Linked DNA regions of Saccharomyces cerevisiae S288C. The protein of the gene in region 3 purifies or fractionates together with the protein of the main gene of each other region. This does not show direct contact. Each region holds a gene or a part of one and is shown on either strand. Other genes may lie near its edges.

Region 1 (5,247 bases), on a different chromosome or scaffold from region 3:
TTAGTTCCGTTAGTTGCCAATACATGAACTGTATGCCCGCAAAGATGTGCGGGAAATTCTTTACAAGGTAGATATGTATTTAGAAAAGAGAAAAACCAAGGGTGTATAGTTTCGTACTATGAAAATCGAAGTTTTAAGCGGCAAAACACTTGTGTATAGATAATTGTAGTATTATTGTGGTATTTGGTATTTGCAGTATTTTCTTGGCGCTACGATGTGCTTTTTATTTTTGTTTGTTTTATTCTCCTATAGAGTAAGGAGACCTTATATTGTTTTTCTCTTGGTAGAAAGTTGACGCGCGAAGAAAAACATAAAAAAAACTGACAAGATACTACTATTATTAACCATATACACGGAAATACCCACAGAGTATACAAACACACATATATATATATATATATATATAATTTTAAAGATAAATTAGAAGTGTTCCCTTTCTCTTTTCTCAGGACCGGTCGTATCCCTCCGGTAGTTCATCAACCTCTACAACAGGGATCTGTACTGAACCTACCGCTCCCTGTGCCAGCTCTAGACGATATTGCAATTTGGATCTGATAGCTACATGCTCTGCCGTTGAGGTGTACCGCAGTCCTTGCTGGCACATTTGAATAGCCTGTGTATATTCACCCAGTTTGATCAGCGCCATGGCTTTGTTGCTGTACCCGACCGGGTTCTGCGGTTGAGCAGTAATTAGTTGGTCATAACAGTGCACAGCCTCGCGATACAGGCCCTGTTTGAACAAAGAATTGCCCTGTTCCTTCTGCTTTTCAAATTGGCTCATGCTCTTTACCGTTGCTCTCTCTTTCGCAGTGCTGAAAAGAAAAAACCGTTCAAGAAAATTGCGTCTTGTGCAGTCATATACGCTGGGATATATATATATATAGATATATATACATATATATAGGAATATGTAACAAGAAAAAAAAAAGAGAGAGGAAAGAAAAGCTCAATGGATGACGATCACGAACAGTTGGTCGAAGAACTGGAGGCCGTCGAGGCCATCTATCCGGATCTTCTCTCCAAGAAGCAGGAAGACGGAAGCATCATCGTTGTGAAAGTGCCGCAGCATGAATACATGACACTGCAGATCTCCTTCCCGACACACTACCCCTCCGAGGAGGCTCCTAATGTCATCGAAGTTGGTGTCTGCACTTCTTTGGCTAAGCGCGATCTCTACGATACCAAGTACCTTCAGCATTTGTTCCAGGAAGTGATGGACTCTGTTTTCCACCGCGGATCTGTCTGTCTATTTGACTTCCTCACAGAACTCGACGGTGTCTTGTACGTTGAACCAGAGGAGGAGACAGAACCGGTCCAGCAGAGTGACATTCCCACAGACCCCTTCGAGGGCTGGACCGCGTCGGACCCCATTACTGATAGAGGCTCGACTTTCATGGCCTTTGCAGCACATGTTACCTCCGAGGAACAAGCGTTTGCCATGCTAGACCTACTGAAGACCGACTCCAAGATGCGTAAGGCAAACCATGTCATGAGTGCATGGCGAATCAAGCAGGATGGCTCTGCGGCAACATATCAAGATTCCGATGATGACGGTGAAACGGCCGCCGGCTCCAGAATGCTGCACCTCATCACCATCATGGATGTGTGGAACGTCATCGTTGTGGTGGCCCGTTGGTTCGGCGGTGCCCACATAGGTCCCGACCGGTTTAAACACATCAATTCTACGGCAAGAGAAGCTGTTGTCAGGGCCGGCTTCGACTCGTAATCATTATGATTATGTCAAGCACCTGTAACCTTGATCACATGCGACGGGAGTTCTTTTTGAAATTTTTTGGAAAAATTTTGCGATGAGCTGAAAGATGAAAAAAAAAAAAGTTTCGAGTATAGTTCTAGGTATGTACAATAACTAGTATAATATCAATAATAGTAATAATAGTATCGTTTTCAACAGGTAGACAGGAGAGCAGACCGCAGATTGAACCGCATCCCAATGAAATCCGATTTCAAGTTCTCTAACCTTTTAGGTACGGTCTACAGGCAAGGTAACATCACCTTTTCCGATGATGGCAAGCAACTACTCTCACCGGTGGGGAATAGGGTCAGCGTGTTTGACTTAATCAACAACAAATCGTTCACGTTTGAATACGAGCATCGCAAAAATATTGCTGCCATTGATCTGAACAAACAAGGCACATTGCTGATTTCTATTGACGAGGACGGTCGCGCCATCCTTGTCAATTTCAAAGCCCGTAACGTGCTTCACCATTTCAACTTCAAAGAAAAATGCTCCGCTGTGAAGTTCAGCCCTGATGGGAGACTCTTTGCATTAGCCTCAGGCAGGTTTTTACAGATTTGGAAGACTCCAGATGTTAATAAAGACAGACAGTTTGCTCCCTTCGTCCGCCATAGGGTGCATGCGGGACACTTTCAAGACATAACGTCTTTGACGTGGTCACAAGATTCCAGATTTATCCTTACGACTTCCAAAGACTTAAGCGCAAAAATATGGTCCGTAGATTCAGAGGAAAAGAACCTTGCGGCGACAACATTTAATGGGCACAGAGACTACGTTATGGGTGCGTTCTTCAGTCATGATCAGGAAAAAATCTACACTGTAAGCAAAGACGGTGCTGTCTTTGTCTGGGAATTTACCAAGAGGCCATCCGATGACGACGACAATGAAAGTGAAGACGACGACAAGCAAGAAGAAGTAGATATTTCGAAATACAGCTGGAGAATCACAAAGAAACATTTTTTTTACGCAAACCAAGCCAAAGTAAAGTGTGTCACCTTCCATCCAGCAACAAGGCTTTTAGCTGTCGGATTTACTAGTGGGGAATTCCGTCTTTACGATTTGCCTGATTTCACTTTGATTCAACAGCTTTCTATGGGGCAAAACCCAGTCAACACCGTTAGCGTCAACCAAACCGGCGAATGGCTGGCGTTTGGTTCCAGCAAACTGGGCCAATTACTAGTTTACGAATGGCAATCGGAATCGTATATCTTGAAGCAGCAGGGCCATTTCGATTCCACAAATAGTCTTGCATACTCTCCGGATGGTTCACGTGTAGTGACAGCATCCGAAGATGGGAAAATCAAAGTTTGGGACATTACATCAGGGTTTTGTTTGGCCACTTTTGAAGAACACACCTCTTCAGTTACTGCTGTACAGTTTGCGAAAAGGGGTCAGGTCATGTTCTCATCATCGTTAGATGGTACGGTGAGAGCGTGGGACTTAATCAGGTATCGTAATTTTAGAACATTCACTGGTACTGAAAGAATCCAATTCAATTGTTTAGCGGTGGATCCATCAGGTGAAGTGGTTTGTGCCGGGTCCCTGGACAATTTTGACATTCATGTTTGGTCCGTGCAAACTGGTCAATTATTAGATGCTTTGTCCGGACATGAAGGCCCTGTTTCGTGTCTTTCATTTAGTCAAGAGAACAGTGTCTTAGCTTCTGCATCATGGGATAAAACAATTAGAATCTGGTCCATATTTGGTAGAAGCCAACAAGTAGAACCTATAGAAGTTTATTCCGATGTTTTAGCCTTATCAATGAGACCAGATGGTAAAGAAGTTGCAGTATCTACCTTAAAGGGTCAAATATCCATTTTCAACATAGAAGATGCCAAGCAGGTGGGCAACATTGACTGTAGAAAGGATATAATATCTGGTAGGTTTAATCAAGATAGGTTCACTGCCAAAAATTCTGAACGATCCAAATTTTTTACTACAATACATTACAGTTTTGATGGTATGGCTATTGTGGCTGGTGGTAATAATAACTCCATTTGTCTATATGATGTTCCAAATGAAGTCTTGTTAAAAAGATTCATTGTGTCCAGAAACATGGCTTTGAATGGTACTCTCGAATTTTTAAACAGTAAGAAAATGACTGAAGCAGGTTCATTAGATTTGATTGACGATGCAGGCGAAAATTCAGATTTGGAGGATCGTATTGATAATTCTTTACCAGGGTCTCAAAGAGGTGGCGACCTGTCCACAAGAAAAATGAGACCAGAGGTTAGAGTTACTTCGGTGCAATTCTCCCCAACGGCGAATGCATTTGCCGCTGCTTCAACGGAAGGTTTATTGATATATTCCACCAATGACACGATATTATTTGATCCCTTTGATCTGGATGTGGACGTCACCCCCCATTCTACTGTAGAGGCGCTACGAGAAAAGCAGTTTTTAAATGCATTAGTAATGGCGTTCAGGTTAAATGAAGAATATTTGATCAATAAAGTCTATGAAGCCATACCTATTAAGGAAATCCCCTTGGTTGCAAGTAATATTCCTGCAATATATTTACCGAGGATTCTGAAGTTCATCGGTGATTTTGCCATTGAATCCCAACACATTGAGTTTAACCTAATTTGGATCAAAGCTCTATTATCTGCGAGCGGTGGTTACATAAATGAACACAAATATCTCTTCTCGACGGCTATGAGGTCGATACAAAGATTTATTGTTAGAGTGGCTAAGGAAGTAGTCAATACCACTACTGATAACAAATACACCTATAGATTTTTGGTATCAACTGATGGGTCCATGGAAGATGGCGCGGCTGATGATGACGAGGTTCTATTAAAAGATGACGCAGATGAAGATAACGAAGAGAACGAAGAGAACGATGTAGTCATGGAATCTGACGACGAGGAAGGATGGATTGGTTTCAATGGGAAGGATAACAAATTACCCTTGTCTAATGAAAATGATTCCAGTGATGAAGAAGAAAATGAGAAAGAGCTTCCTTGAAAAATATTCACTGTCCTCTATTTATGCACATTCACATCATGTATTCCCCAAGTATAGAACTATATAAAGCATTACATTTGTATTTAATATCAACAAAAAAAAATATCATCGCCAATATCGATATACATCATGATGAGAGCGCCTAATATAAACTGAGGCTACCATTACGGGAGTCGTCCTTTGACTGACGAGGCTATTTTCCTTATATATAAGGCATCATCGCTTCAGTAAAAAAAAAAATAGGAAGGGAAAAAATGAAGAATTGATGGGATGAGGAAAAAATTTGACACAAATTTATCGACTACCGTTTCATACTATCATCGGGAGAACAATTACACTAAGCCTTATAAAATTATTGATTCATCAAAAAAGAAGATAACTAAATAACAATGCCTATGAACAATTTTCTAGATGAATTCAATTTATTTGATTCAATCATTACCATGATGAAGAACGACCCATGTTGCGTCGAGGATTATGAGCCAATCGTCGAAAACCTGAACCGTATATTTCAAAGGACGTTT
Region 2 (7,558 bases), on a different chromosome or scaffold from region 3:
CCTTCTTCTTCGCTTTGATTTAAGCTGTTGAGGTTTTCACTTGATTTTGGTTCAAATACATTATCTCGTTTTCTAATGTTATAGCCTCGAAGAGTTGTAGCCTGCGATGCCATAATATTACCAGTAGAATTGTAGAGCACAGTACAAATACCCGAAATGATATTCGTATATCTAGTATTATAGCTTCAACCGCTTGCAATATGTTCTCTTTCAAACTACCTTATTATCAAGCCTATATCTTATTTTTCACTGATTAGGATTGATAAGCGCAGATAAGCGAAGATAAGAAAATTTTCACTCTGTTCGCCCGCTATTTAGGATCAGTAATTTTAGTAACGTTAATCACTAGGAACGACGAGAAAGATGACAGAATAATATCTCATTGAAACTTGAAGTAGCGTAATTGAAATATTAAGTTCAAACTCAGAAAGGGGCAGCTATCACGAATGAATAACAATATTTTCAATGAAAGATTTCGTTCAACAGCATAGTGTTTTACTTTACAAAAATTTACATAATACTTCACCTTTTTTTTCTAATCTAAATACCTATCAAAAGGTTCCCCTAAAACGTTTTCAACAACCTTGACCAAACCGGTCCTGACTTCACGTTCGATCTCTTCATCATCATCTTCCAATAACTCAGCGATGACGGGAACGAGCTGTGGCAATAGAACTAACCAACTTTCACCTATCTTTGAGTATATCAACTTCATGGCTCTAATAGCCCATAATTTTTCATTGGAGGAACAGGAAGCTTTCATGTGTTCAACGATTAGTTTATTCAAAATTTGGTTATGCTCATCAACGCCACTATTGTTAGAAGCCAGAGCGCCAATTGCCTTGACCAGGTACTTCCCAATAGAGTTTTCTATATTAGATAGTTGATTGACCAAGGATACAGAAATTAACTCGAATCTGGAAGTTGATTTCCAGTATTCGTCTCTATCAAACTTTAGCGAAGAGGTTAGAGAGTTGATTACCAAACGTCTTAAATTAACGTTTTCCATGTCCTTGCTAATGAATCTTTTTAACAACATATCAACAGGTTCTAACAAATACGTGAAATAGGAAGTAATTATACCTCTCAAATTTTCTTGAAGCTTGTTGAAAAATTTGAAAAATGCCAACAGTCTTTCTGTTTCAGTGATACCTGCATTTGTAACGCCTTCACCGTCAAACGCCCATCTTACTAATATAACAAATAGCGGTCTAAATACTTTGTCATTCATCTTCAGGACGTAAGAGTTGGAAATTTCGTGAACGGATGCCTCTATCCTACTAATTGTATTATTATCGAAACTGGAAATGGATCTAAATTCGAATAAAGATAATAGTAACTTAAAAAATATTGGCGATTGTGAGGTTGCGGATTTTTTATCAATATTTTCAACAGTGGATTCTAATGTACTCAAAAATAGACTAACAGCAACTGTATCATTGGACGTTGCTATTTCAGTGGACCAAATTCTGAATAAAACTTTCAAAACTTCCTTCAAATCTATATTCTCAATTATCAATGAAATTACTGACAGCCTAATGCTGCTGTCAACTTCACGGGAAAAATAAATAACATGCAAAACATCCAAAATATTTGACATCAAGAAACTTGGTATCCTTTTGATTAGACCGGCGAACAGCAACAGTATAGCAACTTGCAACTGCTCTTTTAATGGGTTACTACTATCTGCCAATGAAGCATCAAATAATTTAATAGAAGGTGGGACTATTTTTGGATAGAACGCAATTGACTTGACTCCTAAAACTTGAACACAGTTAGTTATCAATGCCAACGAAGATATCTTGACCTCTGTCATATCAGAACTAACTTTTTCAGTAGCAAGGGTGAGGGCTTGAGTTAATATGGACCCCTCAAGCTTCTTACCATATTTGCTCACTAAAGCCGTCATCGTGTTCAATATTACTTGAGAAATAACAACAGATTTAGATTCCAAAGGCATTCTGTCGAGCAAAACCTTCATCACATTGTTAACTATAGGAATAGCTTCAGAGCCTTCTAACTCGAATTTGGACCCTATTACCAACGTTAGGTGGTATCTAATATCTTCATTAGTGGATGTACTGAGTAAGGGTAATACCGCATTAACAAACTCGTCAACTGGTAGAATTTGTAACACATTGCCAAGCACCTTGAATAGAATCTCCTTTATTTCAGTCGTGTGATCTGATAATGATGTTTCAGAGTCGGAAGCTTCCTCATTTTCTTGGGAAGTTATACATGAAAAGGTTAATTCTACAGAATTAATGAAAAAAAGAACACCTTCTAAAAGGGTTCCAAATTCTTCCCTGATGTTTCTAATTAACTTTTTATCGCTTGTTTCATCTAACAAAACAGAATATACCTTTAGTCTTAAATTTCTCCTCACATCGTAATAATCTTGATCTGTTTCCTCGGTTATTTTATTGATAAACTCAAAGGTATTGTTCATAAATGTCAAAAATTCACTTTCCGAAAAATTCAAGACACCATTTGAAAACAAGACACGGGATTCTAGTGATTTCTTCTTTTCCGAGGAGCTCTTTGATGATGTCAACAATTTGATGATATCGAGTAAGTCATTCAAACCTGATAATTCCTCATTGACATGTAGATCAACGAGTAGGGCCTTAATAAACTCAATTAATATTCTTGCCTCGCCAATTTTAAAGTTGACTAAAGCTGAAGAATACTGTTGTGCAATCAAGAAAAGGAACGAGCCCAGTGCCTTTACTGGATCAAGTGTTTTGATTAACGTAGAAAATAATTTAACCCTCCTATGTCTTGGAACATGTTGCAAAGCGGTTGTGAAGCTCAACAAAAGGAACTCCATTTCCTCTTTTTCATTTCCTTTGCTATTCTTGATCAAGGCAGGGACAACAGTTAGTATCGTACGCTCAACAACTTTAGTTGTGAATTCATCATCTTGACGAATACTATGGGCTCCCATAAAAGTAAAGATAGGCATTACAGAATGCAAAATAACTTCCGAACTTAAAGTAGCAAGAGATCCAATTACAAGTAATAGTTTGTTTTGGACTTGCGGAGATGCAGAATTTCTAATAGCGGATACCAATATATCTGCCCTTACGTTGGTTAGTTCTGTACAGCCATGTTCCTTCAAGTATGTGATAGTGTTCAGCGTACAAGAAATCAAAGTTTCTTGCGCATATAAAACCGGTAATCCACCGTCTTGATCCAAAGTTTCCAGATCTGATAATAAGGAAAGTAAAGTGAACAAAAGCTTTTCGGATCCAACATTTCTGACTTTATCAAGTGCTTCCAAAATAATCGTCAACTTTCTCAGGTGCAATTCCGCCAGTTGCGAAACCTCCTCTTTCAAAAATGCGTTTTTACTTGTTGATGAACGTCTTCTTCTTCTTTTAGAAAAGTCTGTCTGATCCATTTCGTTACTGATACTGTTTTGATTTAGTATGGATACAAAAATATCGGAATCTAACGGCAATGATTGTAGTACACCGACTGTATCGTACGATGATTCTACGTTACTCGAAGAATCCACGATATTTTGGACGATTTTTAGTTTTTGAGCATTATTTAATGAAGCGAATATGCTGATAAGCCTCTCGGCAGCTATGTTAGCTAACTGCTCATAATCTGAGTTAAGAGCACTGAGAACAAAATCGATCATGAATGACTGCTTTTCTTTTGGTGATACCAAATTAACTAAAGAGCGCTCAAAATGCTCAAAGTTTGTTTTATTAGCAATACAACTCTTTTCCCAACTAGATCTGTTTTCTAAGTAGTGGGAAATAAATTCCTCAAATAGGGAGGAATAAGAAGATGCATAAGTCGGACTCTTGTTCAGGTTATCCAACAACACTGTCTTGGCATACGGAGAAGGTATTAGTAGGGCTTGATTAGCCCAAAACATCAAAAAGACTTTTTCATTTCTCTTTGGCGTTAAAATTCTGGATATGTCATAATTCTCAGTAACGTACTCATTCAAAAATCCTGATAACCATGCCTCACTATCTTTGGGATTTAACATAGGAATGGTAACGTTCTCTCCGTAAAGTTTATCAGACAAAAAGTAGTGCTTAGTGGATGGTCTTTTAGCAATCAAGGAAAGAATCTTCTTCACGCCAGTCCTAACTTTTATAGAAGCATCTCGCAAAGCGCAAATCAAGCATGGAACTAAAGTAAAAATATTAACTTCCTTTTCAATACTATTAATATATTTTGCAATATTGTTTAAAGATATTAGCTTTAGCGCGGTTGGAGCGGCTGGAGATATAGTTACTCTTAACAAAAACGTTATTCTTGATTCTAAAGTAGTGAAAAATGAAGTCAAGAAGGAACTTGCTTTATAGCCTTTACCAATAGCTTCAGTGAATAAAGATAAAACCTTTTTGTATCTTTCTCCAGTTTCTGTTAGCATGGACACATTCGTTGTGTTTATCAATTCTGAATGCTTATCCAAGAATGTTTGAAATGAAGCGGTATCCTTTTTAGTAGTTTCCACGGGGTCGCTTAACTGCTTTACAATGTCGGTGTTAACATCGGCATTAGTGAACAAAGATGTAGTAAGCCTGATTTCGAAGAGTTCGCCTGTCAGTCCCAATGATTTCAAACATTTTAACACCAAATCTTCATTTATGGAGATAAAATATTCGAATAGTTCTACTAATTGTGACTTGTCCTCTAAAATTTCGGAAAGGTAAATCAAATCAGTGATTATCAACCTAACTTCGTATCTTTCTAGTCTTATTTTTTTTAGTAGGCTAAGAATAATGTTCAATTTGGACCGATCATACCTTGCTATGGATCTTGTATAGGAAGTAATGAATTTATCACAAACTGGTTTGTCTTCCTTATCTAAGAAGGTTAGTATAGACACAGTGTCGAACTTGCTATCAAATAACTTGAAAATTTTGGAAGGTAGCTGATCTACGTTACCTTGTCCTTTTAATGTTTGGAACAGCTTACAAATCGTGAGGAGTGCTGAATGTTTTGCCTCTTTAGCATCTAAGTTTGAAAGAATGGTTTCCATGGCAGCTAAGATAATTGTTTTCTTTAAAGGCAAAGCTGTAGCAAATACAACTAATATGGTATGTGCAGCTATTTGACAATCCTTTGATTTAGAGGCTAAAAGTTTAGCAGATATTTCAAGTAAGATTGGAACAAGCTGATTCAGTTTTTCATCGTTGTTTGAATTGAAAGCAACAACGTTAATAAAGCAGCATGTTGTAAATAAAAGCTGGTTAGTATACGTTGCATTATGCTTAATACATTGATCCAAATAACTGGTATAAAGTTTCAGAAAATCCATGTCATTAAAGAGCTTTATCATGGTTAGCGCCGTTGGGGGCTTTTCACTTCTAACAAAATTCGACAAACAATTAAACAAAGGGGGCAACTTAATAATGCTGAGAATTCTCTTAAAGACAGGTGTTTGGTAGTAGTTGAGAGTGGACAAAAGCAGCATCTCTGTGTTTTTAACATGTATTTGAAAACGACGAACCAACCATTCTGTTGCATGTAGTGTAGGTGCTAAATACCATTTAGAAGAAGCCAATAGCAAGTAAGCATTGATAGCATTATCCAAATCTTTAATTTCTTCTTTTGTTTGGACATTTCTATCAAGAGAAATGGAAGACTCTGAAAAGAGTGTTCTTGAGAAAATGGCAAATTTTGGCTCAATTTGGCTCAATTCTTCAAGAGCCTTACTAGCGTTTTCAAAAATGAAATCGTAATCTTGTGTTGCAGCCGTCTTTGAGTTATAAATCAAAGAAGCAGAATGAAGTTTTTGTCTTCTCTTTCTATCCAACGCAACAGTAGCATTGTTGGAAGCAACTTGAGCTAATTGGTCACTCAACGAAGACATTTTCAAAGTTATTCGTACTTTGGTGGCCAGTTAGATAAGTCTGATTCTGAAAGGTAATAAAGAAAGTATTTGTTACACCTTCGAAAATATCTAGCTCATCGCTAACTGAAAATTTTTTTCTTTGCTTAACGCAGAAAGAAAAAAGAAAAAAAAAAAAGTCATGTGACTTGAATATTATTAATCTATGTATGTTATGATTATTGGCTATGAAACCATAAAATTGAAAAAAAGGATTCATAAGCTGATATGTTATTTGTACTTAATGCTATATTTATAATTTACTTTTGAAATTTTTCTTAGTGGGTCAAAGTCTTCTTTGATACTGAAGAATGACCCAATGGCAACACTTGGTCCATTGGTTAACAAGTTTCTAACGAAGTGGACCTTGTGAGAGCTTATAAACTGAAAAGACCAGTTTTCTTTTTACCAAAGGGGTAGACAAAGAGTGAAGAAGCAAATAGTCCCACAGAAATACCGACACAAACTTGAATCATTGTCATACCAAATGACATTGAGGACGATGGATCGGAGGTGCTTGTCGTAATGGTTTCATTAGCATTAACAATTGTATTTGCACTTTGCAACCCAGACAACAACGAATTTTGTGAAGCAATACCAGATGGCACTTGAACGAAGATTGCGGGAAGCATAGCTGATACCGCTAAACCTTTCCAAATTCTGGAATATAGATTACCTAAAACACCTATGACAAATGCAGCTAAGGCGGCAGTAAACTCTGTCGAATTCGCAAAATGCTTACCGGCCCAATATGTTACGACATAACCGGTGCAAGAAATGAAGACCATAACTGGCAGTTGTGAGATGTGTGCTTGATTTAATAACGAGATACTAATGGTAAACGCTGGAACGAAGAGGAACCTGAACCACGGAGAAATTAATTGAGGACATGAAATTTCGTTAGTGGCATTGTGATACATCCATCCAAACAAAGCTGAGCCCAATGTTATGCCAAAACCCAAAAACAAAGAATAAATAATGGCGTAGAACATACGGACCGCGCCAGCAACTAGGCTTCGACTTTGCAGTTCTAGTGCACCACACAGAATAATATAACCTGGCAGGATTAATGCCAATGAGCCTTGTGTAACTGCACCAAAGCAGATGTGAGAACGAGGGATAGAGCCAAAAGCTCTACCGCAGAAGCTAACGACAATAGATGCAGAAATTTCGAAGACGTTTGAATACATGTATGACTTTTGTGAAAGAATAAATTGTAATGACCCCACACAAAGCCCCATAAAAAATGAGATTGCCAGGTTTACCCAATCGCCACCAAAGGCATACGGAGTGACCATAGCGGAACAAAATGCATATAAAAGAACACACATCCAAGGTGGATATAGATTCGTGTCAGCCAAAATTTGATCGAGTAAAGCATTACCTTCATCGGCACCTAAGGTATCATGGACAACTCTTTTGTAAACGGCATGAACTTGATGCAGCTTCCAAAGGTTTAGACCTTGAGTACACCTAACCAATTGAACTTCGGAAGTTCTTGTTGTTGCATCACCAAATGAAACAATCATACAACCTGGAAGATACAAAACTGACCATCTATTTCAAGGACTCTAGAAGTCATAACCATATATTCTTCAAGCCTATGCGTCGGAGCACCATACATCATAAGAGCTCTACACATGCGTAGGATGAACCGGTGTCTTTGTAAAATGTCTGCAATGTGAACCGTAATTT
Region 3 (5,659 bases):
GGAAGGATTATTTCCCAGAAGTTAATGGTATCGTCTTTTTAGTCGATGCTGCTGACCCTGAAAGATTTGATGAAGCACGTGTCGAATTAGATGCTTTATTCAACATTGCCGAATTGAAGGACGTTCCTTTTGTAATTCTTGGTAACAAGATCGATGCTCCAAACGCCGTTTCTGAAGCGGAGCTACGTTCTGCTTTAGGATTATTGAATACCACTGGCTCTCAAAGAATTGAAGGTCAAAGACCAGTTGAAGTTTTCATGTGTTCCGTTGTTATGAGAAATGGTTATTTAGAGGCGTTCCAATGGTTATCTCAATATATTTAATTGACGTATACATCTATACCCTTTATATGACATTCACATGAATTCAACAGCTTTGTAATAATCAACAAAATTGCATAGGATGCCACCTCATAACTTTTGAGCACAGCATTTCCGCGATCATAGTATATTTTAGACTCTAAGATTGAATAAAAGTATGATACATCTTAAGTATACATATATATATGTATATATATATATATACATGAAAGTTTACCTCCTCATCTTACGTGGACGAGATTCATCGTCACCGCCCATAGTTGTTCTTTTACCATTCTGGGCGAAGTATTCTTTCTTTTTCTCCTTATCCCTTTGTGATTTTTCTTCCTCCATCTTAGCTAATTTTTTCAATCTTTCCTTACGTTGACTAGCCTTCTGTTCCTTCCTCTTGCTGTCTTTGGCTTTCGAAATCGTCAATACTTTTTGAATGAATGATCTTGCCTTCTTTTCATCACCACCTAGCACCACGGCTCTTTTAGCCATATATGTTTTCTTCTTTTGTGGTTTCATTTGATGGATCTGAGATTTGAATGGCAATTCCTTTTGAACAGCTTTTGGGACCTTTAGACCATTGAAGTGTCTTTCTACACGTTCTATTTTATGATATGCACTGTCCGGATTCGACGGTGTTTCCAGGTTCATAGCCGCTCTTATTTGGCCTGTCAATCTTAAACCTTTCCACTCGGTTTTTTCCTTCAACAATAGTGAGGTAACAGGATTATAGAATTTCTTGACGCGGACAGGATACCATGATCTTAGAATTACAATATCACTCATTAGGATTTTATCCTCAAAGGCTGCCCTATAGTGACCCTCAGGCTTTGAAAGTGCCCTTTTGATTTCACCACGGATACCCGAGACAGTTTTGATCTGCGCACCCTCAAACCTTGCAACTTCCATAGCACTTGAAAACATGTCCTTTATAAAGGCAGTATTTTTGAAAATTTTATATGGAAACCCAACTAATTTTAACTTTTTAACAATTTCAATATTAACGTCTATCTCTTCAACGATACCTGTTGCTGCAATTCTAAAACCGTTCCCGGTATCACTATTAGCAACAATTTGAACACCACAAAAAGGTGTGTTTGGAGAACATAAGGGACCGTAGAAAGCCGCATTACAATATGTGTGTTCTGGTGTATACTTTAGCATTCTGGTTCTTGTTCTAGAGTCAGTTGTTGTATAAATTGGTAAAGTTTGGAACCTTCTCCAACCCAAAGACAAGACCAGTGGGTCATTTGTCTTCAAAATCTTCTTATGCCAACGATGTCTTCTCAACCTGGCTTTGACAATACCGAACTTTATTTCGGTCGGCAATAAACCACCCATAACAATTGGAAATTTTGGATTGAAATTCTTGACAAATTCCATTGGGACTTTTTCGAAAACGATACGTACATAAGAACCAGCTTTGAAACCTTCGATTCTTTGACGTTGTTCTGGAGTCATTTCTTGATATTCTATATTGTTAATTTCTAACTGTTTAGATATCTTGGCCTTCTGTAGTTCATACCATGTATCATATTCATTGTTTTCATCATCTTCTTTAAAGTTTTCACCTTCTTCTATCTCGAATTGTGCACGTAGTTTTTCCTTCTTTGCAGCATTCATTTCTCTTTCTTGCTCCATGGTTAAGTCCTTTTTTTCCTCCGCATCAAAATTAGTGAATGAATTATCATCATCTCCATTAGTGTCTTCGTTTTCATCCTCATCCTCACTTTCTTTGTCACTATTGTCTTCTGCTTGTTCAGAAGGGTTTCCATCTTCTAGATCTTCAAAATCGCCGTATAGTTCTTCCCCACCTTCATTAGAGTCACTTTTCGTTTTATTATCATTACCTAAAATGCCTGCGCCGAGGAATCGCTCTTTGATTGCATCAACGCTTTTCCATTTTTTAGCCAATTTTTCGAAAGTGTCGAAATATGGAACAAACTTTTCCAAATCAACTGCATGGTCTTTATTGCCCTCTTTTGTAACAGTACCATCTTTTTTCCTGAAGAAGTCATCATCAACATCTTCTTCAATGTCACTTTCGTCTTTACTATCGTCGTCCTCGCCCCTCCACCTTCTTATACATTCTTCAGGTGAAATGTTGTCCATGTATATCAGCTTACCGATATTCCAGGTCCTTTTCTTACTTTCAGTTTTCTTCAGCTTGTTTGCCGCTGTTCTTTCCCAGGAAAACTCATCTTCACTCTCTTCAAATTCAGAATCTGTTTCCAAAGCTAATTTTTCGGCACCCTGCTCACCGGTATTATTGAAATCGATTTCAACCATCCTTGGTTCGGAGTCCTGCACGTCGTCATCATTTGTATAAGGTTCTTCATCACTCGGTAAATTATCAATATCTGCGTCTTCTTCTTGAACTGGCTTACCATAAATTCTTGGTTTTCTTAAACTGGTTCTTCCCTTGCTCTTTCCTTCATCGTCCTCAATACTTTCTTCTCCACTTTCAACATCCATGCCTTCATGATCGGCAACTTCATGAAGCTCAGTGCCGTTGCTAAACAATTGCAAACCCACACCATCAAATTTCTCTGCAATACTTTGTTCAACACTTTGTAAACCCGTCATGAGTTTTTCTCCTTCACCTCTTTCTTGGCCGGGAACAAAACTTGGCTCTTCATTTTTCTTTCCAATATCAATATAAACAGCATCCTTATCCATCAACACACCTCCGACATCGGACATTGGAGCATATATCAATTTATCTTTATCATCTAACCTTTTACGTCTTCTTGTCGTAGAGGCAGTTGTAATTTCTCCGTTAGCCTTTGCCTCTTCTTTCATTTTTTCACGTTCAAAATCATCCAGTTTCTGTTGGTAAAAAGGTGTGGGACATGGATCTGGTAATTTTTCAATTTGTGCTACTGAGAAATCACCAACACCAGCAATATGCACCCTAGTGCCCGGAGCAGAAGGCAAAGGAGTACCGTGCAAATAACCATAGATAGCGACTTTGCGGTCGATTTGCAGTCCTTGAGTCTCTATTAATTCCGGATGAGTTAAATCTGTGAATCTGTCAGCCAACATATAGGGATGTTCGTTCCTCCATTTTAATGGTCTGAATTTCATAACAGATATAAATCGTGAAAGGTTTAAAATCTCTCTATCAGGATACCTTCCATTAATCACACCAGATAGGTAAAATAATTTTGCACCTTGATAAACTTCCGTCCAGAATCTGTGCTTTAATCTTTTCTTAGAAGCTCTCAAAGTTGACTGAGATTTAAACAGATCAAGATGTGTAGCTACACCAAGTACTCTTGGCATACCGTGATGTTGAGCAATATTTAAGAATTCCATTGTTTCCATTTCAAAACCGAAATTACCGTCAATTAGTAAAAGAACCAAGTCGGCAATCTTAGCAATATCAATCATCGCATTCAGATCGTCCGCAGGGCACTCCAAAAAAGTTAGTCTTCTATGTTTACCAGAGACAACAGTAATAGGACCTTGAATATCATTCAAAGTGCTTTTTGTCATTCTCCTGACGAGGGACCGAATCAAAGTAGTCTTTCCTGTTCCAGGTGGACCCACGACAGCGACGATAAATGGAGGCGGATCATCTTCAGGGGTACGATCAACCATAGGAACATGCAGTTTTCTTTCGTTCACATCACTTGACCTTTGCATAGTTCTCGCCATCTTACCTGGGGCTGCCACGGCAAAGGCCTTTGCATTATGACCCTGCGTATGGAGCTTCTTTTTTGCTGTATTCTTCTCCTTCGCCTTACGGTGCTGTTTATTAGACTGCTCCATCGTTTCAGATAACTCAGATGGCTGATTAAAGGCTACTATTATGTGATATTTTTACCTTAACAGCGCAAATACTTTCCTTAATTTTGAAGCTTCACTTCAGCTCATCGCCTTGAAAATTTTTCATTTGTACGGACATTAAACTTAGGCGATAACAAAAAAAAAACTTCATCTAGATAATCTCAACTTTGAAATTACAGAAATATTTACAACAGTAGTACGAGTATCTGCACTATGGCTCACATGTCCTTAAAATAATCTAAGCTTACCTATCTGATATTTGTTTTGATATTGTTTAGGACCAGCAGTTTCTGAGAGTTTAGCAAATGCACCTTTACAGCTATCCTCAACTTTTGGAAGAGAAAGTGACAAGATATGTAACAATACTTGCATGAATCGACATTTGTTTACTTTGGTCCATTTTGTATATGATAGTGTGATTTAGCGATATGGAATTATGTGTATTTTTCTATTTGTTGTCATTTCAATATGGGATGACTTGTTTTCTTGTAACGCGCCACTTCAATAGTAAACATTATGAACCTGATAAATGTTAGCAGACTTAGTAAGAGAGACAATCATTTTCATTCAGTAAAAATCGCAATCCCTAGTTTGGCTCTTCTTCTAGCCGTACTTTAAATTCAAAGCAAAAATGGTTCTGCTTAACAGAAGGAAAATACAACCTAAGGAAATAGGACAGTCTGCTGATTCCTTCTCTGAAACTCCATGGGTGATTAAAGAAAGTAGCGAGCGTATAAATGATTATGACAGTGATTTAAAAAAGCTAGATTTTTACAAAAGGGATATATTCACCTGTGAGATTAGTGGAAAAGATGGCCTTTCGTATTTCAAGGCGTTAAAAAGCGAAGAACAGCACCGTGAAAAGGTCAGATATCTTTTACCAAAAGAACTAAGGAAGGCTATAGCAAATTTCGCAAACTTCAGTCCGATAAGGAAGGTAGGACACCTTGTAGAAAGCGCATTTCAGCGTTTTAGTAACCGTTTCTTTATAGGCGATACGGTGTGCTTGAAAACTATCCAAAAAAATGCATTGATTACCTATAAAGAAGGAGAGCCTAACTTGGTAGAATCACCAACTATTGAAAACAATGTCACGTTGTTCCTTGTCAAGGATGTGTTTCAATCTAACGGGATGATGGAAAGTGAAAAGGGAGAAATTTCTGCCCCAAAATTGTCACTGTATTTAATCACAGAATGCCTGAATCGAGAATCTAAAGGTGCGGCCCTAATTGTAGGCCAGAATGAAATTAAAAGGCCAGAATCACACTTTTCTAAATTCATAATTGCGTGTTTTCTTAATGAAATACTCATAAAAGTATCGAATAAGGAGCACGCACCATGGAGGGTGAAACAAGAATATATAGAAAGATATGATGTAAACCCTAAATGCTCTCCTAATATGATTGATTATTTGCCGGATAGAATGAACTCATCTTCTTCCGAGCTTTACACTCCTCTTACTATACCACCAGAGAGCGATGTTGAACCTGCTGACTGGAAGGAAACGTCGGAAACGTCGGAAACGTCGGAAACGTCACTATCTAAAATAAAAGCAA
Region 4 (6,053 bases), on a different chromosome or scaffold from region 3:
TCGCTTATGTTACTTTCAGTACTTTTAAAGCTCCTCGAGCGTAAAGGTCGGATTTTCTCAGCGGGCTCATCGTCACTATATTGGAAGCGTCGTGTTGTGTTTACATTAGGACGACTGCTATAAGATGGACGTGGTGATCCTGACACAGAACTGCCCATCCAATGGTTCCCTCGTGGAGTATCATTAAACACGTTATATCTGTGCTCCATTATACAAGCCTCCTGATAAACGTATCTGGTATGATAAATCTATAATCCGTTTTGAATTGGTTCGATGAGTTTCCTCTTATTATGTCTTAAGCAATTCTTACTTTTGTTCAATAAAAAAAACGTATAAAGTTATTGACTACGTATATAATGACATAAAATACATAGTGCTATAGAACATAATGTTTTGAATTATGAAGGAAGTTAACATTAAGTGGTTGCAATTATTTGATGCCCTAGATAGGAATAATGTATTCTTCCTATATGTTCTTATATAATGAAACTCTATTTCTATAATACCAGCGCATTATTTTTTTTCTTTCTCTTCACCTGTGATGGTCTGGAAGCCCTTTCTGGTGATAAACTTAATGACTGTCCACTGGCCTTTTTGCTTCTTCTGATGCACTGCTATAGGATTTAAATCCCAACCAATCTTGAGATCGTTGTCAACTGTGGATCCAAATCTAGGAACCACATAACAATACCGTTCCGTAGGTGATAAATTAACGGTCTTCAAGCCTTGACCAGTCAGAGGTTTACTGTATGTCAAAAGAAGTCCCTTTCTTGCTATGTTCGCTAAGGGGGTGCTTGCGATGTCACATAAAGTATTCATCCTTGTTTTATTATTTCCACCAAGGTGCAAGGAATAATAGAGCATGTATTTGGGTGGCATTTCCCCCAAATTATTTAAAATTGAAGTCGGATGGATATAGACAAAGCAGTCCTCGATATTTGGTGTTCTCGTGGCCAAAACAGGAATATAAGGAATGTTGATTATGGAAGTTCTGTTGGTTATCTTAGCATCATCTGGAAATAAAACATCTGCTCTTACGGCAACATGGTCGACAAAACCAGCGCAAATCATTTGTTTTAAAAGTTTTATTTGTATGACGCTTGGAATATCACTTTTCAAGTCTTCATTCCTAATTACTACGGCAATATTTTCTTTTGAAGTGTTGGACTTGATGATATACATTAACTGCTTCCTCAATTTTACTATTTCTTCCATTAGTTTGCCTCTTAAAAAATTTTTCTTCATGAATATTTCTTTTTGTTCCTTTGGAACGTAGTCCATTGCACTTACAACACTTAATAAACGGAATACGTCACTAAATTTGTCTAATTTACTAAACTGACTCCTGCTTTTATAGAATTTACTGCGCAATTCCTTTTTCAGTTCAGGATCCATACCTGGTGTTGATTCATCGTGCTCTCTAATCTTATCATCTAGATTTTCATCTGGATTTGGTTTTCTAGAAATTTCGTTTATTCCCAACTCAAATTCATTGATAAAAGGATCTCCCACCGAAAGGGCACTAACAATTGCTACAATATAAGGAAGGCAGGCTTTTTCGTCAGAAACAAGTAACATTTTGGAAAATCTGGGTGAAAGTGGGAACAGGCTCATTTTTTTACCATCTTCAGTAATCATCTCCTTATTATCAAGAGCACCTAAATATTGCAGTAATTGTATTGCCTTGGAAAGGGCAACTCTATCTGGAGGAGTTGGAAATGGAAAATTAATGATATTATGAATGGCCATGCTCTTCATTTGTAACACGATGCTCTCCACTGGCATTCTTAAGATTTCAGGTTTAGAGAACTGTTCGAAATCATGTTCAAAAACAGCAGACGAATATAAACGGTAACAATGGCCTGGTCCAGTACGACCTGCTCTACCGCTTCTTTGATTGGCACTAGCTTTACTTACCCAGCCCACTTCAAAACTCTGTACGCCATTTGATTCATTATATTTACGCTCTTTAGACCTCCCGGAATCAACAACATATCTAACTCCAGGTATAGTTAACGATGTTTCTGCAACATTTGTTGCAACAATACAAAGCCTAGAACCTTGAGGAGGTTTTTGAAAGACTCTCATTTGTTCCTTGGTTGGTAATAGAGAATACAGTGGAAGGACATATAAAGGATCGTTAGCTGTTTGCCCTTCAGTTAGGACTTCTTCAAACCCTTCTTCCTCTTCGTCTTCCTCATCTTCACCGTTTCCACTGTTACCTTCATCTTCTTCGTATCTTATCGCGCTCTTGAACTTATCTTGATCGATAACTTGTACACTGAAGTCTATATCCTCAGCCTCCAAATCTGTTGTTTTTGAATTGATACCCATTTTAGAAACGGGTGTTTCTAAATCTTTGTTGTACTTGGAGTTTTTCTTAAAAGGAAATTCCTTTCTTAGCCTTTTTACCATGTGTGTAATTTCCTGCTGACCGGTTAAAAACACCAATATAGCGCCAGGAGGAAGTTTCTGGTGAATTTTGCAAGTCTTTCTGAAAGCCTCGTCTGTATAGTTGAATGCAGTTCTACGATTAAAGTGAATAGAGACTGGAAACTGCCTTGCATCAACCTGTAAGACAGGGGGCGCTATGGGGAACAATGTTTTGTTTTCGCTGAAATCTGATACCCTTAATGTAGCTGACATGATGATGAGTTTTAGCTTCTTGTGCTCGATCGGGTTCTCCTTATGTAGTTTAGCTCTTAACCGAACACAACGGCTAAGCATACCGATCAAAATATCAGTGTTAATGTTTCTTTCATGTGCTTCATCTATGATAATGGAGGAATATTTAGTCAACTTGAAATCGTGCATCATTTCTCGTAGCAAGACACCATCTGTCATAAACTTGACCTTTGTGTCCTCCTTTGCGGTAGAGTCAAACCTAATTTGGTATCCTACTTTATGACCATGGTCCCCCAATTCATTAGCTACACGTTCAGCCATGGACACAGCGGCCACTCTTCTTGGTTGAGTGATACCCACCATTCCTGGGTAATCTGGAGAATCTTCGGCACCAAACCCAGCCTCATATAAAAATTGTGGGACTTGTGTAGTCTTACCTGACCCCGTTTCACCACAAATAATCACTACATCATTATGGTGAATAGCCTCCATAATTTTGTGTTCTTCACCAAATACTGGTAGTTGAATTCTTGCTTTCTGAATTTCATCTGATCTGCTAACTTCAACATAGAAGGCTTTACGGGTGGAATTCTCGTTTATTGGAACATAAGCTTCTTGGAGACCATCATCTAAATCTTCCTTTCTAATTATCGGTTTATAATCGATGTTCAAAGTGGGAGTAACTAGCTCTTGATCTCTACCTTCCAATTTTTTTATTTCTTGATTGGCCCAATCCTTGAATTCGTTAGCAACATCATTTTGGTCAAATTTTTCTGAGCCAGTTTCACTATCTGCGCTTTCAACTTCTTCGAGTGGGTTTTCACTAGGATGCATTTTGTCTTCTTCTTCCTGATCCTCCTCTTCGTCATCATCTTCAGATGTCGTGTCGAAATCCATTTCATCTTCTTTCCCATGCTTCTTCAATTCTTCCATTTCTACTCGTTGTCTCCAATTATATTTCTTCTTCGGAGTTTTGCTTTCTTTGTTTATGACTTTTATATTGCTAAACCCAAAGCTAAGACCAGATCCACCAAATTTTGCTGGTCTATGATCAATAAAACCTGATGATTTCTTCTCCTCATTGTCCGTTGGTTTCGGCATACTACCAAATGAAGCCTCGAAATCATCTTCGCCGTCATCATCCTCAGAGCTCCCTCCTTCACCATACTCATCCCAAACTTTTGGTTCATATTCTTCGTATAATATTTCATTTGTTTGTTCATTTCCTCTTCCTTGACGTTCTAAACTCAGTGCTTCTTTGAATTCTTCCTTTTTAGTCTGCCTGCCCTCTCCTAACCTTTTAGAGCTTGTCAACAAACTTGTATCTATCTTATAATCTTGAAGTTTACCAATAATTGTCTTTCTTTCCTCTCTTTTTAATTGATGTTCAATAAATTTATCCAGTCTTTTCTTCTTCAATCTCGAAACTTTCGATTCCTTTGGGGTAAATAACTCCTGTAGTTTTCTTTTCTTCATTTTCTTTTCTTCTTCAGTGAGAGGTTCAAGAATTTCCGCATTGGCATTTGGCTCCGTAGTAGAACTCTCAGCGGGAGCTGAATCTGGGTTTTCTACTCTTTCATCGTTTTCATCCTGTCTAGTGAACTGCTTATTCCTAATTCTTTTCAGTTCTTTTAATTTGGCCATATGGCCGGATCTGGCTTTTTCATTAAACCTTTTTCTGTAAGTACCCATACTTATATTTCTTAAGACACTCTATTATTAGTATTGGGTTGTAATTGCATTTTTATAGCATATAGCACTTGCTATTAACAATAATATACTAATACTATAATGAGCTTTCAATACTCAGCTCATCGCCAATGAAAATTTTCGGAACACCCAATCATCATGATATGTTAGGCGCGTAAATATGAAGAATAACAGAATCGTTAATCAGAAGAGATGATGAAATCATTAAGTCTTGTCCATATCGAACTGGATAGAGTATGTAGCGCTCTAAGAATCTGTTAAATTGAAGTTTGATTTTTTGATATTGGAGGCTCCTATTTTCTAGTTGCTTTTTGTTTTCACTCGCAAAAAAAATGGCAAGATCTTTAAGTCAATCACTCACAGCGACTACCCAGAAGCTAAAAGGAAAGAAGAATGGTGGAAAAGGCAAGAATAAGCCCTCAGCAAAAATTAAAAAAACTCAAAAAGAGATGCTATATGGAATACTGAACGAAAGGAACATAAGACAGATTCAGTTTGGACTGAATAAAAAATTCTCTACTTGGTATGGGAGCGCCGTTTATTTCGATCCTGAAACAAAAAGGCTAGGGTGCTCCGAGACCAAGGGTCAGCTTTCCTCTGTTTCTAACAGCCAATACTGGCTAGACACTCTTTTCGTTTGTGAATACTGCTTCAAATACACGGATGATCAGACGCGGTTTGTAGGACATGTTGCAAGTTGTCCATTTCAATATCGTGTTCCAGGCAAAATAAAATACAAGAGTCCTGAATATACAATAAGAAGAGTAAAAGGATCCAAGTATCAACTCTTTTGCCAATGTCTTTGTCTTTTCACTAAGCTATATCTGGACAATAAATCCATGTATTTCAAAGTAGATCATTATGAATTTTACATAGTTTATGAAACTGGATCAACAAAGCCGATGGGATTCTTTTCGAAAGATTTAGTGTCATATCAGCAAAATAATCTAGCGTGCATCTTGATATTTCCCCCATATCAACGACGTGGATTAGGCCTTTTACTTATCGAGTTTTCATACAAACTATCCCAATTAGAAGGTGTAATATCAGGGCCAGAAGTACCGTTATCACCTTTTGGACTAATCGGGTACTTGAAATATTGGTCACAGATACTCTGTTGGCACCTTATTGAAGGTGACCTCGCCCATTATGATAAAGTGACCCTGGAGGATCTTTCCATCGTGACTGGAATGAGAGTCAATGATGTTATTTTGACCTTGAAGCACTTGAACTGTATTGGGGAGAATAACCAAATTTACTTGCAGTCATTGAATAGCTGGTTGAAACTACATGGAACAAAACGGAATTGGTTCAAATTAAAAGATGAATATTTGCTGATAGATGACTAGGAATCTATTCAGGATGTAACTTAATGGCATATGTATTTCAGGATAGAATATCGCTCGATGAATTCCTGTACAGACAACTACAAACGGACGAATTTTGTCTGACCAAGTTAAGAACAGAGAACTAATGCATAAAATTTGTTTTGCTGCAAAAGTTTCCCTTTTTTTAGAGTATAAATATCTTTTATAGCAAAAGACTTAAAACAGGTTCACGTTTTTATTAGCCGTTTTTGGGCCGGTTTTTCGATGACGAACAAGGACCAAACAAATACAGCATCAAAACAAATTCTAGAATAAGAAGGCAGAAAGGGTAAGGGCATAAAGGAAACCTTCTTTTGTGGTGATGTTGAACTGGGTTTAGCCAAAATTACA

Evidence for each region.
Region 1: the proteins of BMS1 (region 3) and PWP2 purify together in Saccharomyces cerevisiae (affinity purification with mass spectrometry; 6 studies listed by BioGRID). This does not show direct contact.
Region 2: the proteins of BMS1 (region 3) and UTP10 purify together in Saccharomyces cerevisiae (affinity purification with mass spectrometry; 6 studies listed by BioGRID). This does not show direct contact.
Region 4: the proteins of BMS1 (region 3) and ECM16 purify together in Saccharomyces cerevisiae (affinity purification with mass spectrometry; 5 studies listed by BioGRID). This does not show direct contact.

The regions. Positions count from the first base shown.
Region 1 is NC_001135.5:219,933-225,179, reverse strand, and holds PWP2 (snoRNA-binding rRNA-processing protein PWP2), read left to right. Parts: upstream 1-1,951; coding exon 1,952-4,723; downstream 4,724-5,247. Other genes in the region: TAH1 (Tah1p), read right to left, coding at 446-781; YIH1 (Yih1p), read left to right, coding at 950-1,726; CTR86 (Ctr86p), read left to right, coding at 5,113-5,247. UniProt on the Saccharomyces cerevisiae protein: Required for bud-site selection and cell separation. Also involved in nucleolar processing of pre-18S ribosomal RNA.
Region 2 is NC_001142.9:211,465-219,022, forward strand, and holds UTP10 (snoRNA-binding rRNA-processing protein UTP10), read right to left. Parts: upstream 5,846-7,558; coding exon 536-5,845; downstream 1-535. Other genes in the region: GZF3 (Gzf3p), read right to left, coding at 1-113; pheromone-regulated protein PRM10, read right to left, coding at 6,241-7,392; YJL107C (uncharacterized protein), read right to left, coding at 7,389-7,558. UniProt on the Saccharomyces cerevisiae protein: Involved in nucleolar processing of pre-18S ribosomal RNA. Required for optimal pre-ribosomal RNA transcription by RNA polymerase I together with a subset of U3 proteins required for transcription (t-UTPs). Involved in ribosome biosynthesis.
Region 3 is NC_001148.4:139,087-144,745, forward strand, and holds BMS1 (GTPase BMS1), read right to left. Parts: upstream 4,086-5,659; coding exon 534-4,085; downstream 1-533. Other genes in the region: Arf family GTPase SAR1, read left to right, coding at 1-323; YPL216W (uncharacterized protein), read left to right, coding at 4,735-5,659. UniProt on the Saccharomyces cerevisiae protein: GTPase required for synthesis of 40S ribosomal subunits and for processing the 35S pre-rRNA at sites A0, A1, and A2.
Region 4 is NC_001145.3:521,960-528,012, reverse strand, and holds ECM16 (ATP-dependent RNA helicase ECM16), read right to left. Parts: upstream 4,318-6,053; coding exon 514-4,317; downstream 1-513. Other genes in the region: POM152 (Pom152p), read right to left, coding at 1-209; SAS2 (histone acetyltransferase), read left to right, coding at 4,668-5,684. UniProt on the Saccharomyces cerevisiae protein: Probable ATP-binding RNA helicase. Required for 18S rRNA synthesis. May play a role in restructuring of the pre-rRNA.